Linked DNA regions of Xenopus tropicalis. The protein of the gene in region 3 purifies or fractionates together with the protein of the main gene of each other region. This does not show direct contact. Links are inferred from orthologs where the notes say so. Each region holds a gene or a part of one and is shown on either strand. Other genes may lie near its edges. The genes, in order: cep76, cep290, ccp110 and cep97.

What was found.
Region 1: the proteins of ccp110 (region 3) and cep76 purify together in Homo sapiens (co-immunoprecipitation; 4 studies listed by BioGRID and IntAct, with this or other methods). This does not show direct contact. The link is inferred for Xenopus tropicalis from reciprocal best matches to the Homo sapiens genes CCP110 and CEP76.
Region 2: the proteins of ccp110 (region 3) and cep290 purify together in Homo sapiens (co-immunoprecipitation; 6 studies listed by BioGRID and IntAct, with this or other methods). This does not show direct contact. The link is inferred for Xenopus tropicalis from reciprocal best matches to the Homo sapiens genes CCP110 and CEP290.
Region 4: the proteins of ccp110 (region 3) and cep97 purify together in Homo sapiens (co-immunoprecipitation; 10 studies listed by BioGRID and IntAct, with this or other methods). This does not show direct contact. The link is inferred for Xenopus tropicalis from reciprocal best matches to the Homo sapiens genes CCP110 and CEP97.

The regions. Positions count from the first base shown.
Region 1 is NC_030682.2:103,535,772-103,540,331, reverse strand, and holds part of cep76 (centrosomal protein of 76 kDa), read right to left. Parts: intron 4,416-4,560; coding exon 4,260-4,415; intron 4,171-4,259; coding exon 4,089-4,170; intron 2,037-4,088; coding exon 1,812-2,036; intron 1,415-1,811; coding exon 1,229-1,414; intron 659-1,228; coding exon 561-658; intron 276-560; coding exon 147-275; intron 1-146. UniProt on the Homo sapiens protein: Centrosomal protein involved in regulation of centriole duplication. Required to limit centriole duplication to once per cell cycle by preventing centriole reduplication.
Region 2 is NC_030679.2:54,385,142-54,389,701, forward strand, and holds part of cep290 (centrosomal protein of 290 kDa), read right to left. Parts: intron 4,230-4,560; exon of another isoform or gene 4,145-4,229; intron 3,264-4,144; 5' UTR 3,251-3,263; coding exon 3,149-3,250; intron 2,602-3,148; coding exon 2,524-2,601; intron 2,280-2,523; coding exon 2,210-2,279; intron 1,267-2,209; coding exon 1,220-1,266; intron 252-1,219; coding exon 108-251; intron 1-107. UniProt on the Homo sapiens protein: Involved in early and late steps in cilia formation. Its association with CCP110 is required for inhibition of primary cilia formation by CCP110.
Region 3 is NC_030685.2:31,828,071-31,832,630, reverse strand, and holds part of ccp110 (centriolar coiled-coil protein of 110 kDa), read right to left. Parts: coding exon 4,207-4,560; intron 3,570-4,206; coding exon 3,445-3,569; intron 2,170-3,444; coding exon 1,998-2,169; intron 1,637-1,997; coding exon 1,503-1,636; intron 1,329-1,502; coding exon 1,212-1,328; intron 192-1,211; coding exon 90-191; intron 1-89.
Region 4 is NC_030678.2:101,957,588-101,961,348, reverse strand, and holds the end of cep97 (centrosomal protein of 97 kDa), read right to left. Parts: intron 3,540-3,761; coding exon 3,464-3,539; intron 1,956-3,463; coding exon 1,296-1,955; 3' UTR 1,142-1,295; downstream 1-1,141. UniProt on the Homo sapiens protein: Acts as a key negative regulator of ciliogenesis in collaboration with CCP110 by capping the mother centriole thereby preventing cilia formation. Required for recruitment of CCP110 to the centrosome.

The DNA.
Region 1 (4,560 bases), on a different chromosome or scaffold from region 3:
GTCTATAGTTTCAGATCTTGAATTCTGGACCATAAATGGACAATAATGATACTGTATTGTTTTGTCTGCTATAAAACAATATTATACTGTTACAAATCACATGGACAGTTATTAACACTGCATTTAATTAAAAGTTCACTATAAACCTGTGCAAAAATCTTTACAAGCCTGGAGTTATGTGAAGGGCGAATTTGCAAATATTCTCTCCACCATTGCTTGGCATACACCAGAAAGAGCCTTTCCTTCTCAGCTGTCTTTTGCCGTTCCAAGGTAAACTGTGAACAGATGGTTTTTAAAGAAGTTGGGACCACTTGAAATGAATATTATAGTATTAAGAAAAGCATATCATATCACACTTCCCCTCCTAAATTAGTTTTTGAGGCTAATTTACTAGTGCAGTTTCCCATAGCAGCCGATGAGATCTTTGCATTCATTTTCTAACAAGCAGTAGTTAAATAAAAACATATGCCTAATTAGTAGCTATCATTAACTGCACTGGTGTATTAATGAGAAACCAAATTATATATAAGTACATTAGTAGTACAACTAGCTTTGCATACCTGAGTGTTAATGACTTCCTGGGAAAGTGTTTTGTTTAGTAGTGGATACAGTTCTAGTTTTACATTGAGGATGCCAACAGACACTTTGCATTCAGCACCTTTAAAACATAAGAGATGTTGCCATTAGAACATTTCCATAAATTTTGAATGTATAGGTAAATATAATACATTCTTGATGCTTGAGTTCTAGCTTTGTATTAATCTCTTAGCTAGAGTTATTAAAGGATCAAAGACCAGTTAATACATTCTTCCTTAGGCTGAAGGAACATGGAGTGTTTGCTACACTGCTCTCAGGCTGCATATTCTTGTAGGCTGAGAGAAGTGCATCTCATCCCTTAAGCACCTCAGTAAAAGTACGTTGACAAGTACAGCTTCTGGCTCTGCTCAATTACACGAAGCACAGCAGAGTGGGAGATTGGCCCAAAAATGCTTGCTTTTGTGTTTTGAGGCGAGCAGAGGCGGAAGCTGTACTTCTCAATGCAGTTTTACTGAAGTTCGTAAAGATCTGCTTCTCAGCCTGCAAAAAAAAACGTAGGCTGAGAGTAGTAGAGCATCAAGGCCTAGGCTGATGCCATACACGGCATAAAAATGCAGGCAGAGAATCAGCCCCATGTGGCATCAGCCTTAGGAACAGCTTGGATTCAACATGGACACAATTTATTTCTCACCTACTCCAAGGAGCTCCACAACAAGACTCGTTGCTCCCTTTTCTGTTCCCAGAACTGAGCGCCACTCTAAAAAGTGGGATGAAACTAGTGAGGTTTCACCAGATGTATCTGTCTTTAATAGCACCAGCTGCACAGGGTCACAGATTGATAACATGGTGGTGGCATCAGCCATCCTGCTTCCATCACCTAAAAATGGAAAGAAAAAAGAGCTCTGTCACCAAGTGCCGGTTTCTCAAAATGCTACACACATCACAGTCTAAATCCCCAGTCATATCTAATAATCTACAGATAATACAAATGATACAATATATATTTTCTTAATCCACATATAATTATTTCTGCTAGTTTGCTCAAGACCATTGTATTAGATTTCATAAAAACCAGCATCTTCTGAGCTCAATTTGTTTCGGTTTTAGAAAAATTCACTCCTGTTACTTTTTCTTTCCTTCAAATAATCCCAAACCAGTTATAAATCACCATGGTTTAGCTGTCTCTATCAGGAACTGGGATTAAAAAACATGTCAAAAACAAAAAACATTCACAGCATTTTGGAGATAAAAATATTCCAAGCATGCAGTGTTACCTAAGCTGTCTTTGTGCACTTCTAGCAAGAAACCATCCTGGAAGTCCGGTTCACAAGCACAGGGTACAGGCTTTGAGCGAAATCTTTGGTTTCTAAAGTGTAGGCAGAGAGTAAAGGTAGAGCAGGCTTGACCTGGAAGGGGATCAGATTCTTGCAGGTGCTCGAGAAAAGCTTTTCCACTTAAAACCTGAAGATGAAGGTATCTACGTGTAGGGTCAACATTAGCTGGAAAAAATACAAAATATTTTTGGCCTTACTGTAGTCTATTTTAATTGTAACATCAGTATGAGAAAGAAGAAAGGCTTAAGTGAGTAAAACTTTTATACACTGTATGAAGATTTGTACAGTTATGGAACCGGTTATCCAGAATGCTCAGGACCTGGACTTTTCTTCATAAAGTGTCTTTCTGTAATTTGGATTTCCATATCTTAAATCTGCTAAAAACATTTAAACATTAAATAAATCCAATTGGATTAATTATACCCAAGTTAGGATCAAGTACAATATTAATTTTATAATTTAATAATAATTTAAAAAAAAAAATTTTTAGAAAGGACTTTATGGGAGATGGCCTTCACTTTATTCTGAGCTTTCTGGATAACTGGTTTCTGGATAAGGGATCCCATAACCCAATAACTTGGTTACACATTACACTGGTCTCTCTGCCTACTGAGTAATCCACCAATATATTTTGTTTTTGAAGCAAAACATTGTATTTTTTAATTAAATTAATTTTTAAAAAATGTTTATGTTATACTCAAGGGGTCATTCTAAAGAATTAAAAAATACCTATTAAAATATAAATTAAATATGCATGACATTGTCTATATTCTTTCTAACAATGATGCATTTTTTGGCATGACAACAAAAGAGCGAGCAGGTACGAAACTTTAAAGGGATACTGTCATGGTTTTTATGGTATACTTTTTATTTCTAAATTACACTGTTTACATAGCAGATAATTCACTCTACTATTGAAAACTTGATTCTGGAACCAACAAATGTATTTTTTTTTTAGTTGTAATATTGGTGTGTAGGCAGCCATTTTAGTGCATTGTGCCTCAGTCTGAGCTTTCAGAAAGCTCTACACATAAGAACTGCTTTCAGCTAACCTATTGTTTCTACTACTTCTAAAACCTATTGTTTTACTACCATGCAACTGGAGGAGTCCCAAGCCAGACTTGGATTTCTTACTATTGAGTGCTATTCTAATATCTACTGGGAGCTGATATTTTGCTGCCTTCCTATTGTTCTGCTGATCGGCTGCTGGGAGGGGGGTGATACCACTCCAACATGCAGCTCAGCAGTAAAGTGCGATGAAGTTTATCAGAGCACATGTCACATGGCTGTGGCACCCTGGGAAATGAAGAATATGGCTAGCCCCATGTGAAATTTCAAAATTAAATATGAAAAAATCTGTGTTTATGAAAAATGGATTTCAGTGCAGGATTCTGCTGGAGAAGCTCTATTAACTGATGTGTTTTGAAAAAAAAAAACTTCCTTTAAATAGTTGTCATCATCCCATAATACCAGTGTTGTGCAGCTTGATTTGAAAGTCAAGATCAAACAATGTATGTATATTTTAAATATAAGCTCTTTTACCTAGTATCAGGGCACAGGACTGCAGTGCAATTTATCATAGACAGCAAACTTATGGCTCATAATTTACAATCATTTAATAGCTGTTGGCCATGGAAAGCAGCACAGTATATCCAGACACTAGAAAAACTTTTATTTAACATTCACAGTTATTTGCATTTCGGAAAGCCTGCATTCACAACATTTAAATCTGTTAAGCTTTCTCTTTCCCTTTAATGCTCTAGCCCCAATATGCAATAAAAGTCTGCCCAGGAGCAGTAACCCATAGCAACAAATAACGTGTTGGCTTTTAAACAGGTGACCAGTAAATGCTACCTGCTGATTGGTTGCTATGGGTTACTGCTCCTGGGCAAACTTAGAAACTTTTATTACATAACCCCATAAAAGTTTCTGTTTATTAGACAACTTGGCTGATATTAAACAACTGCCATGTATTGAATGGTCAGATATTGACTGATTTGACTAATTGCATAGACCACTGTACCTTGTTGCAAGCTTTGGTCAGCAAATTAGTTAAATAAACAAATCAGAAAAAAATGACAGGAAGCTGCTGCCCCACTCTTCTGGATCTACAGCTACCACATGAGTCAAGCCGGGGTATTTTCAGAGACACCGAGAACTGCAATATGCAGCCTGTACCTGTACAAAACCTGTATACTATAAATACGACTAGCTTACTTTTTTTTAGTGTTCTTGGTTCTTTGTCAATAAAATGTGTGGCTGGCTTTGGTGTAGATGTTAATTCCCTGGTATCCCTGTCCTAAATTAAATAAAACAAATATTACATTAGGAAGTGCATTTCATGAATCTAATAAAAGCACACATTTTTTAACACCCTCCCTAACTCACCTCCATAAAATGAAGTTCCTTCATGACTTCATCAACAATACCTCGCTGCCTTAAGGCTTTCATCAGATCTTCCTCCGATAACTGCTGGCTTTCTGTCCTAAATTCTTCTCTTAACGATTCTGCCAAGACTTCTCGTATTTTGCCGTGCACATCCATCTACAACCACCAAAATGATCAATGATCTTAATTATGTTGTATGCTGTATCGGCACTGTTTTTTTTATTTCCCATTACACTAAAGTTTTATCAAGATATTCACCAGCTTTTAGGATACATATATTTGTATTTTTTTTAAAGGCAAA
Region 2 (4,560 bases), on a different chromosome or scaffold from region 3:
ACTTTATTTTTGTTCACACGACCTAGTATCTTCCAATAACAACACTGTTTAGCTTCACAAAATATACCGACACAAATGAAAGGAAGGTGGTCATTGATATAACTTACTTGTTCATTAACTTGTTTCTCCCTTTCCAACTCATTTGCCATATCTTTGCATTCTCTCTCACTCTGACGCAACTGCTCCTCCAGCTGTCTAATTTCTTCACGCAAAAAACGTGAATCTCTGCTACCAGAGGATAGCTGTGCCACCTGTTTTAAAAACAAGAAAAAATACATTCTAATATTTGAACTTTGCCTTTCAAATTGAACAACTTTAAACTGAGGTTATCTATATCCTAAAAATCTGTAGAAGAGAAATGTATCCTATATAATGTAAACTAGCAAGGTTAAGCTTTTGAGGAGTTACAAGTTTGTAATGTCACTTTTTAGACTAATAAAATGTATTATTTACAAATATGCATAATCTTATATGCAGTGTGATTTTTTACTCTCTGTATATTTGCATTAATTGCCTTTGCATGTATTGGCTTTAGAGGATTGAGTCATATTGGCTGTTACTGAGGTTTACTAAATAAAAATCAAGATAGAAGCTGTATAAATGATATCTATATAAAGAATATTAACCGTTTGCTTGCTGATGCCATATGTGCTACATCGACAGCAAAGTGACAGCCTGCCAAAAAAAATATACGTCACATACAGTACAGACAAAATAGTTTTCAACCCTTAAAGGAGAAAGAAAAGTGCAATTACTTGGGGGTACCAAAATGTTAGGCACCCCCCAGTGATTGTAATCACTTATCTTATACCCCGGGCTGGTGCTCCTGTTAGAAGAAAACCGCACCAGTCCGAGGTAGCGATCCTCTTCCTTCTTCTGTCTTCATGCCAACAGCGCATACTCAGTAAAGTGAAAAGCCGAACTTTAATTTAAAAAGTGGTGTTTCCACTCTACTGCACATGCGTTTGTCACTAAGAAACAAGACAGGAGGAGGAGGATCACTCGTTCGCAGCTACCCTGGGCTGGTGCAGTTTTCTCCTAACAAGAGCACCGGCCAAGGAATAATGTAAGCGATTACAATCACTTGGGGGTGCTTTGCACTTTGGGACCTCCCCAGTAATTTTACCTTTCCTTCTCCTTTAACACAAAACAGGAGTGCTTTAAAATATATGACATGAAAAAAAAAGTGATAATAAAGATCTATAGAAGAGAAACTCACCTCGATTTCATTCTCCAGACGCTTTACTCTGTTTCTTAATTGGTTTTCTGTCAAATGAAACAGGAAATATTAATCAAAAATGAAGCTGCAGGGCTATCTATGAATTAAGTAAAATGGCCAAAGAGAGTGCCGATTCTACCAAAAACATCACCTTTCGTTTTATGTAGGGCCCTTAGGAAAGTAGTTTCAACCATAGTCATAATAAACAGACAAGTATTTTGTCTGAATTTCCAGAAAACAAAAAGTAATGGTTATTTTATTAACCTTTTATTTTCTCACTTGCTATATAATTATCAAATAAACTGCTTTATGGAGAAAATTCAAAAACATCACAACTGCACCTTAGTATGAGATTAGAATGATTCCCGTCTAGCGATGAAGAGCCTTGTGTGATAATGCCCTAAAGCACCTATGCTGCAGTGCAAACTATCCCAATCTGGCTAGCCTTTCTTCATAACAGAGAAATTAGAGACCCTTTATCTAGTTAGTTGTCCGGACTTTATTTCAATAGTGTCCCTTTTTCAGCTCTGAAGACCAAAACTACATAGCATTTTTCATATGCGGCTTTACTACTGAATTGTAAAGAATAAGAATAAGCACTGCTCCCAAGCTGTGAACAATAATTCTGATTGTAAAACATGCTTGTATATTCCCTCTCCCCCCCCCCCCCCATTCCTTTCTGTACCCTCACCTATCCCATGTTAAAATGATAAATAAAGAATATACAAAAAAAAAAAAGAATAAGCACTGCTCCCATGGAACCATTCCTAATACCCACTGAAGTAATGATTGTAAGGTGCTAAACTTTGCTTTTCTAATATTTTAGAAAATCATTTAGGCAATTTTCTTCTGTTTTTTTTTTTTGTTTTGTTTTTAACACAAAACCACACAGGCTAGCAGTAATGTGTGTTTTATGAATACTTCAATACCTACAAAATGACAATTTTGTTTTGTTTTTTCCAAATACTCATAATGTTTTGTGACACATACCAGTTTTCAGTTGTTCTTCATTTGCCTTCTCTGCTTCTTCTAACAATAATTGTACCTCTTGAGCCTTTAACTAAACAAGAAAGTAGAAAACATTAATATCAGAAAAATATTTAAATTTCTGAAAAATTCCATCAAGAAAACCATTATTTTGATAATGTTAAAGTCTTTTCATCAGTTTCCATTGAAGGGACAAATGGAGCTTTAAACCCATTGTCAACTAGATGACTACTACAATTGCATAATGCTATATACTTGCTGTGAACTACTGACAAAATAAAGTTACAAAAAAAGAGCAGTTATGTGAGGAAGCATACCTTCATCAAGCATTGTGAAATTCGAAACAGCTGTATCAAGTTTTCATTTGGTTCATCTTTTATATCTGTGCTTTTGACCTAAGAAAGACAAATCATTTTTTGTTAAAAAAAATTACAAAATTCAGAATGATGTCTGTTCCTAATATAAAAGGGATAAATACTATTCACTTACGGATAAATTCAATAAAGGTGCAGAATATACGTTTTGCCTATTATTTTAATCAGAAAAAAAAGCTTTTTGTTATTTCTTGAGCTACACAGGAAAATTGAAGCCACTTCATGTTTGGTTCAAATAATCCCCCTACATAATGGTCAACTTTTTATCCATACACTGCTACTCTCATTATCTACCTAGCAGAACTAAACACAAGTAGCTTCAAATTTCTGTTGCCCTGTTTGGCTTAAATAATAACAAAAAAACACAGGTTTGTTAATAAAGCAAATGACAAAAAGTTTATTTAAAAAAAATCCTATTCACTAAACTCATGTAAATATGTGATGGTCTCATCACCTGTACCATTTGTAACCTTAGTTTGTATATTTAATAATACTTGCTCTTTGTGCTCTGTGTTTAAAACGTCTATAATTTTTAACTTTGTGACTGGTAAAACACCAGTAGACAAACCATTGATATCGTAGTTTGCATTTCATTGGCTGTTCTTTCTTGATTGGGAAGAGCATCTGGGTCCACTTTCATGAGTCTTCCCCAATCCAAAGAAGGCGGCATCTTTAAGGACTTTCTGGTAATATAAAGAACAATATTTACTTAAAGAGAAGTAAATCATTTGGTTATTAAAGCAAGGCTATCATTTCCATTGGTAAAAAATAGTTGTTTTTACTAGAAACAGACTAGTGTTTAAAGTGTTGTTCACCTTTAATTTCCAAATCTTATTAAATTGTTCTTAGAGTGCTGGAAAATCCATTACAAAAAGTACAAAGACACTGAAAAAGCTACTTTTTATACCTGCCAAATGTCCTTCTCTGATCTGTTTTCTGACGGGATGGGAGTGGCCTATTTTGACCCTGACACACTGACAACTTATATGCTTACATTGTCACGTCGAGGCTTTGCCTTTATTTTTTTCCTATTTGACCAATTCAATAGTTGCTTGTGCACTCTAACCAGAAGCATAAATTAAAAAGTTAGATTTGCCACAGGCACAGGAAGCAATGTTAGACTGACAGGAGACACAGCCAATAGGAGTTAAGTCTGCTGTCAGTACTATGCATGACATCACATAAGTAAAAAAGCAACTGTACTGTTTATAGAGGTCAATGCACCCCCCCCCAACCCCTCTCCCTCTTATACTGGGGCCCCCGAGGCTGCCCCCATTAATCTCACGGAGCAGTGGGGAGAGGCGTGGCGCCCCCTAAATTTGTGCCACCCTAGGCCTGGGCCTTTCTGACCTCACCACAAATCCGGGCCTGCCCCCAACACAGGATCTGTGCAGAAGTGAAGAATCAGCAGAGGGATTATTCTGAGGTGCTACACAATTTTTGTTAACTTTCTATATGGCAAAAATTGTTCTATTAATGCAAACTGTTAGATTTGTGAATGTTGTACAACCCCTTTAAAACTCAGAATGCCAGTAGACTATTAAACAAAAAAAAAAATAAGTACCACAGTTTTCAACTGAGTTTATGAGGCAGCGGAAGGTAAGTGCCAAATGCAGATGGATAGCATCAAGTCTTAAGGAGAGTACAGAAATGTAGTAAATTTCTTGGAACATACGCTGAAGCATATTTAATACAGAAAACAGGTGTCAAATTGGATTTGTTGCAAATGAGAGTTCTGTAGAAGTCCTGTTTGGCCTTTGACAGAGCAAAGGTATAGCAGGTGAAATGTATAATGAATGAAGCCTGCTTGTGTATGCTTGTAGGATAACAGTGTATCAAAGAAATGCACTTAAAGGAACAGTAACATCAAAAAATGAAAGTGTATAAAAGTAACTAAAATATAATGTGCTGCTGCCCTGCACTGGTAAAAGTTGTGTGTTTACTTCAGAAACCCTACTATAATTTATATAAATAAGCTGC
Region 3 (4,560 bases):
GCAGGTTAATATTACTATACTAAATGTTTTGGCTGATGTTCATGCATTAAACAATATTAAATAAATGCCTGCATAATCACTGTACTTACTTGGGCTAGAACTCTTTCCTGCAGTGAAGCATCTTGGGAAGATACCATCCCTCGGCTTAGTGGAAATTCAGATTGAAATGTTCTCATAAACTCTGCAGTGTCCTAATTAGTTAAGAAACACAAAATGGAAATGTTATCCAATGCAAACATTAGCAGTTTAAATTATAAGTTGGCCTGTACTTAAAAATAGCATGTAATATACTATAATGTAATATAAAGTGCTACAATTTGTAATAAATCCACCCTCCAACTGATGCAACATAACTGCACAACTGGCCTTGTTTTACTGTAGAATTTATATTAAAAAAAGGGAAATTTTCATATTCTTATTTGGTTCCCAGTGCCAAAGGTCTTACCAGGGATACTGCATAGCAAAGTAGGTAAAAATCCAGGTAATTAGGGCTACATATACTGAAATGAGCAGTTAGCAAAACACACATTTCTATCTGATTAGGACTAGCAAGTTTTTAGGGTTTTTTAGTAGCACTGTTTAATCTTCTCATGATTGCATTCCAGTACAGGAATAAATTACATTTTTCTTAATATACATGCCTCGAGCCATCAAGTGCTGTCAATATGTATGGTAACTTCTACAAATCCAGTTTGTTAGCTAGCATGCCAAATGAGAGAATCATGCCATAGGCATGTAGATGTACAGCCTGTAGCTTCCTATTGATTACATCACAAACCAGCATAACTGGCAAGATTTTCAGTACTGTGCAACAGTTGGTTGAAGGCTGAAGATTCCACACATGGAGTATGCCAACAGCCTAAAACAGTATATTTCCACTTTTTATCCTTGTAGCCCATTTAAAGGTGTTTGATGCTGCGGAAGTTCTAGTCTCATCTAGAACTAGTCTCATCATCTCTTGGATACAACTTTCTTTTCCATAGCCACTTGTAGGGTCACAACTTCCTTATAAGAGCCAAAAGAGGGCATCATCTGACAGTATGATATGCCAGATATGAAAACAATGTCTAAAGAATACAGAATACATTTACAGCTGGCATGGTTGATTCTGCATTCTATATAAAACTCTGCTCTAATTGCAGGAACTTAATTGGAACTTTGTGGTGAATTTTGTAAAAATGTGAATCGAGGTGAGAAAATAAAGGCCATACCTTCACAGTTTTTTTCAGGTTCTTTAGCTTCTCTGTCTGCATAAGTCTACGTGTAAGGAAGCCTTTTGCAAGTGCTGTAGCTTTGTTAAATTTCCTCTGCATTGCAGGACTGTAAACCTTTAGGAACAAAAACAAAAAAACACAGTAGCTTTACCCATTACTTGGGTAATAATGAGAGAAAAAAAAAAAAATTCTAGAACTCCCAATCCACTGCTAATATGGAGAGGCCATCTGCAATTCCAGCAAGTCATCACCAGTTCATTAAAGACAGGGTCCCAATAAGCAAGTTACCTGAGACCATCTGGTTTTTAGTCTCCCATGAGAACTTGAGATCGATGTGCTTGGAGCTCTGCTTTTTACAGGTCCCCACAAACCCAATGAAGATTCGTTTGCAGAACCATAGCTATGTTGGGAAGTAGCAGAAACTGTTGAGCAAGAGTAGAAATATCCTACCATCAGCATTTGTTCTTAAATAAATCAACTAGAAACAAATATGACCAATCAGGTATTATAAGGTCTTCAAAGTTATTGCTTGTTTTTTTGGCAACAATTGCTCATAGGCCTGTTATTCAGCTGTCTTCTGCTATAGTCTGTCAAGAGACCAGCACTACACACATCAGAAAGGGAATCTGCTTTCATTGCAAATAATTTTAAAATCAATAAAAATTTGTAAGTAACACATATTGGGAAATTGCTTTAAATTAAATTTTCTTTCAACAGGCAAAATTGGAATTCTAGCTATGCGAAACCCCTCTATAAAGTAGTAAAAATATAATGCAGTTTTACCTGTGCTATAGGTGGAACATGAATGATAATTATCCACTGGAAATGACACTCTTTCTTGTACACTGCTTTCAGTAATATTATTTCTGTCAGTAATCCTACTGCCATGGTCTAATGTATGAGTGGAACTTTCAGTGTCCTTTAGCTTCAGTTGCTTCTCTTCTTCTTCAAACTCCTAAAGAGCAAATCAACAAATTCTGCATTAGTTTTCAAATAAACAAGACTAGAAAAAAAGCTTGATTTTCATACATATAGGAAGCTGGTAGAACAGCGCCTGAGGAAATGGAGAAGGAGGTGCAGAACAGAGTATGAGGGTGCAGAAGACAGAGAGCAAAATTGGGGAAGGTATGGGTCATAGAGGAGGAGAGCATGGAGGTGCAGGAAGAAAAGAAATAAAGAACAGAAGGTGGTAGAGGTAAAGCAGCCAGGATATTAAATTGGCAGGCAAATGAACCTGTGCAGTTTTGTTAATGGGAGGACAGAGGAATGGTGCAGGAAGATTACATGCAGCAGTGGCACTGTTACATAGAAGGTTAAGGTTCGTGTGCAAGGAGAGGAACATGATTAGCGTAATTGATATGCAGAGGGAAAGGGGACTTGGGGACAGCAAGTTGAATTTGAAGCAAAAGAGATAAGGAGACAGGTGCAGGGAGAGGGCAGAACACTGAGGCATGCAACACATGGTAAGAGAGAATCAGCAACAGGGACAGTGATGGGACAGAGCGTGATGGTGTTCAGAGCAAGAAATTGAAAGAAAGGACATCAAAGGAGAGAGGAGAGCACAAAGATATGATGGACACATAGGGGCTGATTCACTAAAGGTCATTAAACCCAGCGCTATTTATAGCATGCGTTAAAATGTTCGTAAAACTACTTTAAAAATGACCATTTCCCTAAAATCTGGAGGCTGCATCACTCTAGGGCCAACACAGACTTGAACAAATCCCACTGCAAAGTCCATATTGTGTTGCCAAAAGTTTACAAACCACAATTTTCTTTAAGTACCGCCTGCCCCAAGTAGGTGTTAACCTTCACACAGACTAATGTGATATTTAGCGTGTTTAACGCTTCATATGTGTTTGTGAATCATGTGTTAGTATTATTTCTATGCGAGAATTAACGCATTGCTGTAGCGCACGATTTAAAGCATGCGAAATTACTTTGACAAATCAGTCGTTATTTAACGCGTCAATTTTAACGCAAAAAAACATGCGATAACACTTATCGACCTTTAGTGAATCGGCCCCATAGTAGTATAATTGGAGAGAAGTTGGGTGGGAGGAGGTAGAGCAGGTATATTACACAGGGATGGCAATTTTTGACAGAACTGTCTGAAATGCCTTATAATAGAGATCTCTTTATGTGGCCATTCCTTCACAGTAATCCAGCAAGATACTACAAAAACTGCAAACCTTGCCTAAACATTCATTACAAACACAAAACAAATCACCCTTTTTAGTTTCTCTTGTTCTCTTTCCTGTTCAGCGATGAGCAATGACAGCTGGTATGCATGCTGCTCTTCTAGTTTCTTTCTCATTTCTTCAAAATCAAGCATCTTCTTTTTAAAATGATCTCCTAGGTCAGACAAAAAAAAAAGGCATGGCATATTGTGAATCATTCCTTCTGTGAGAGTTTCATTGAGAATATGGTAGCAACCGCTCACACATATGAAGGCAAATATTAAGAGAATATTATTATTATTCTATGCATTTAATGAGCTAGGCTTCAATTATTTATAAAGTATTTACTACAAACAAAGTTGGACTGTAATTTTAATTACCATAGCATAGGCAATCATATTTAATTTACCATCTATTTTAAATTATTCTTTCTTGTTCCCTTTGACCTCTTCTACTTGTCCTACACTGGGATTCTAATCCCAGTTTTAATGTCTTGGGTCACTAACCCATGAAATGAGATACAGTAAGTGGTTTGAATGGTAGACTGAAGAGTAATGAGGAAAGAGCACTTTGAATATGTCCAAGTTTTTTGAATACCAAATGGAATGGATATATTTACTTTGTGACAATTCAGTAATCATAACTTAAGAGAGAGATATTCTATTTAATAAGTGGAACATATTAGAAGGCATGATCAGAGAAATATTCATTTAACTGTCCACCAACACTACTAAAATGTGTCTTTTTGAGAACTGACAAATCACCATCCACATCATGTACAATTATTGTCTTGTAGCAATTCATCTCCTTACCTAGACTACCTTTGCTCAGATCAGTAGAAGTCATCTGCAGAGACCCACTCCGGTTCCTCTGCTTATGAAGCCACCTCTTTTGTTCGCCAGAGGCAGGTGGTGTGGTGTCTAAGTCTAGTTCAAGTCTACGCTTAATCTGAATGTCGGGCTGGTTTTCCAAAAATGGTTCTCTAAGACAGGGTCCAAGTGGAGTCTCTGTGGCTTGACCTGAACCTTGGCTTTGTATCAATATTGGTGATGGTGTTTCCACATCATAAGATTTATTGAGTTCTACTGGTGAAGAGTGCTTTATCATGTCTGGTGAACATGTCAAGCAATTAGTTTTAATCCCATGTTGGATCATTGTATCTGGAA
Region 4 (3,761 bases), on a different chromosome or scaffold from region 3:
ATAAGTTTATTACTTGATCTATTTAGTTCTAAACAATAACTTACAAAAATAAGTTACACTAGTTGGAGCATCCCAAGAAGGGGCATCTTACATATAAATCACCTCTTTTTAGCATCTAGTCCTGGTGGTTTTCTATAATTGACAATTTACAAAAAGGCAAGGATCTTTATAAAAGATAAACTGGGTAGTATTACCCTGGACATAAATACATCCTTCCAAAAAAAATGTGTCAGGCCTATAGTCTGTAGGTTTGGTGAGTTTTTACCCACTCACCTATCCTACAAAGACACCAAAAATTAAGGGAGAATGAGATTAAATCACCCCCCACACTCTTCAAATAAAATGTCAGATAGTTAAGTGGGCGATACAGATTTGTGACTGAGGACTCCTCCACTGAGTTATTGGATCAATTGTTAGCAGTGGTGCTACTGGGCCACAGTTTATATGTGTAAAAATAAAAAAAAGATTGAAGTGTGATTGAGTTGTCAACCTGTAAGAGGGATAATAACCTGACTCAGAGCTGCAGTTGCATTTCCATAAGTGATTGGAAAGATTGTAACACAGTCCGGCCATATTGGTGCATTTTTTCAATTCCTGTGTACATGTGACATTTATCTTGAAAGGCATATCAACTTTTACTAACATTTTCCTGTACTATTCCAATAACTATCTTTACAGTAGTCATATTTAGTATCTTGGATGCTACGTTTGTCAAAATGTTTTCTGAGGTACTGGAGAGTCAAACTACATAAGAAATACAAAGCCGTTCAAACTGGCTTTAATAGCCACATATTTTATATAACCTGGATATTTTCTTCTGATTTCTTTACTGCTGAAATTACAGACTCTAGACTGATTCCTCATATTGTCTGTGAGAACAAGATGAATAACAGTTCAAGAAAAGGTGCTGCATTTACCTTTGCTTTTCCTGGTGTACTGTATGATATGTTTCTTTTTTAACACTGCTAATAGACGATAACAGTTTGGTAGAAGATATTTAAGGCATAGTTAAAATACATGCAAAGTTAATTCTGCTTTCCATCAACATGCACACTGCACAGTTCACTCACATATACTTTGTTATACTACCTACACTGTATGAAATAGCAGTATACAGAAAATAGATGCTTGTTGCAGAGGATTGTACATAAATATGGAATTTATTGAACAGAAAGATGGCATGATGTGCTTTTAGTAAAATGGTGTGATAATTTAAAGTGCATAAAAGTAGAAGAGATTCTCAAATTCAGTTCCACACGAAAGTCAATAAACCAATTCTGCTGACACACAGGTACTTAAAGGACTAATTCTGGCTGTGGCACTGGTAAACCAGAATCACATGTTTTTTGTGTGCTTTGTCCATCATCTATAGAAGGTAAGTTGCTATGTATGTCAGTGTTTTCCTGCTTACTGTTTTCAGGTAGGAAGTGGGAGATGCTGCAGGACAAGTCAGAATTGTCTGAACAATTGGTAATTTCAGGTCTACTTTCCTCAGTCCTGTCACTGTAGCTTGTATTATCTTCAGTCTCATCCAGCTGCTCAACAGACTTTAGATACTGCTGCAGAAGACTGCTGTCCTGCTCACTGGTGAAACTTTCTTTGCTGCTATGGCTTTGCTCTTCTCTAGTCAAATCGTGTTCTGAAGGGCTGTCTGGTGCCTTGTCATTGTAATGTCGAACGGTATCCAGAGAGGGCTGAGAATATTCGCTTTCCTCAGAGGAATTCTTCTCAGTACTATTCAGGGTGCAGTGATTCAATATGACAGAGTGAAACCCAGAGTCTGGGATGTCTGGTGATGTTTTTCTATTCAGCTTTTCAGGGATTAAAGCATTACAAGAAGGTATCTCTTCCAAAACAGGATTGTCATGCTTTGAATTACTGAGTGGTTGAAAATCATTACAACCATTGGCAGTTTGCCATTTTACTGTATTTTGCCATTGTTGTATGGCTTGTACCTGTGAAATAGAAGAGAAATTTTAATCTGAAGTTTTTGGTGTATTTTACTAAAGGAAAATCACTAGCTGCTACACAACCTTGCAAGAACAGACCTACTTTTTTGTCTAAAGCTGGCCACACACATGAAGATCCACTTGTTTATCAAGGTCTCCAAACAAGCATATCTTTCAAAGACGTGCCCACCTTGGGGTTTACAATACCAAGCAGACCCAATTGCTTGGAGCTTAGGCCAATGATAAGATCATAACTGCTGCTATGTAGGCAGTCGGATTGAGGACAGCATCATTGCGCAGATATTGGTTGGGTAGACCCGTTGGAGGGACCAATACACAAGCAGATAAGTTTACAAATTGGTCTGAAGGGCCTGAATCTGCAGCTTGCCACTGCATCTTTACTACTTCAAATGCTAAAACACTAAGGGGCACAAGAGAGGCAGTCTAACCAATTTATACCTTGCAAAATGCAGCATGCAAGTTGCAAAAAAAAAAAAAAAAAAAAAAAAAGGTGCAGGGGAGAAAAATGTATAGAGCAAAAAAGCAGATGGAAAAAGAAGGATAAAGCATAAGAAAATAAAAAGAAAAATGTGTGGAAAGTGGGTATGGTAGGTTAATGGAGCAATTACAGTAATGTCAATGTGTCGCAGGTGTTATAGCTGTGCTACCCTGGTTCCATTCCCATCTTTTCAGCTTTTATGCTGCAATGTGTTCTGGAGAAGGTTAGAATGAAGCTGTTGTTTCAAATTATAAAAAAAGTATCTATTGAATAGAAGTGATTTAAGGGGTGTGGCAAAAGGTAGATGCGGCCTAAAAATCCTCAGCGTGCAAAGTACACGGCACCTCAGGGCCGCTTTACGGTACCAACAGGCCCTGGGTAAAATTTAGTTGGCGGGCCCCGACTGCACCAGGAAATTTGTCATAAGTACATGAGGTTCAATACAGTAAGGCAGCCAGTGAAGAAATGGTCTGCTGTTAAGGAAGTAGACATGATGCCTAGGTGTGCCACCATGGACTGACAGCACAGGGAGCAAATTACAAAATGGTGATGCCACAAGAAAAAGGCAAATAAATTAAAATAATCACACTACTGTAGAGCTCTTCGACTTAATTAAAATGAAGGGTCTGCCACTTCTGCCAAAAGTTATCCTAGATGAAAGGTGTGCTAGTTGGCCCCGTTTACAGGTGGCCCTGGGAAAATGCGCCTTTTGCCCAATTATTTAAAATGGCCACACCACACTACCTTTCCCCAGTTTTTCATTCAACATTTGATAACCTTACTTCAGAATAGCAATGTTTTTTGGAAAGCACACATTTTAAACAATTCAAAATAGATAAAAAAAAAAAAAAAATCTTTTTACTCCAAACTACCTAACTGGAAAGCTTTGTCTTATCACACAGAGCGTGATTATGCAGTGTGATGAGATCTTACACTAGTCACACTGGAAAATATTATATTTTGCAATATAATGTACGTAAATTGTTAAAGAGTAAAAAAGTAATTCAAAACATACCTGTTCCCAAAGGTACCTCACGGCTTCCCCTTGCACAAGTCTTTGTATTCGCTCCTCTTCTTTCTCTTTTTTTAGCCTACAGCACAGACACAAGGGACCAGATTTATAAGCTACTTATTTACTGTCATTGGAAAAACAATTTTGACTAAAAAAACAATGCTAAAGAATAAAGAATTTTCTTCAGTAACTGCATTGGAAGACCATGTTGCTACAAGTGTTTTCCCTTTCCACTGCAAATAATAAAACTGGCAAGGAGGTCCGTTGTAATTGATATCAAAACTACTACTATCCTGGATGT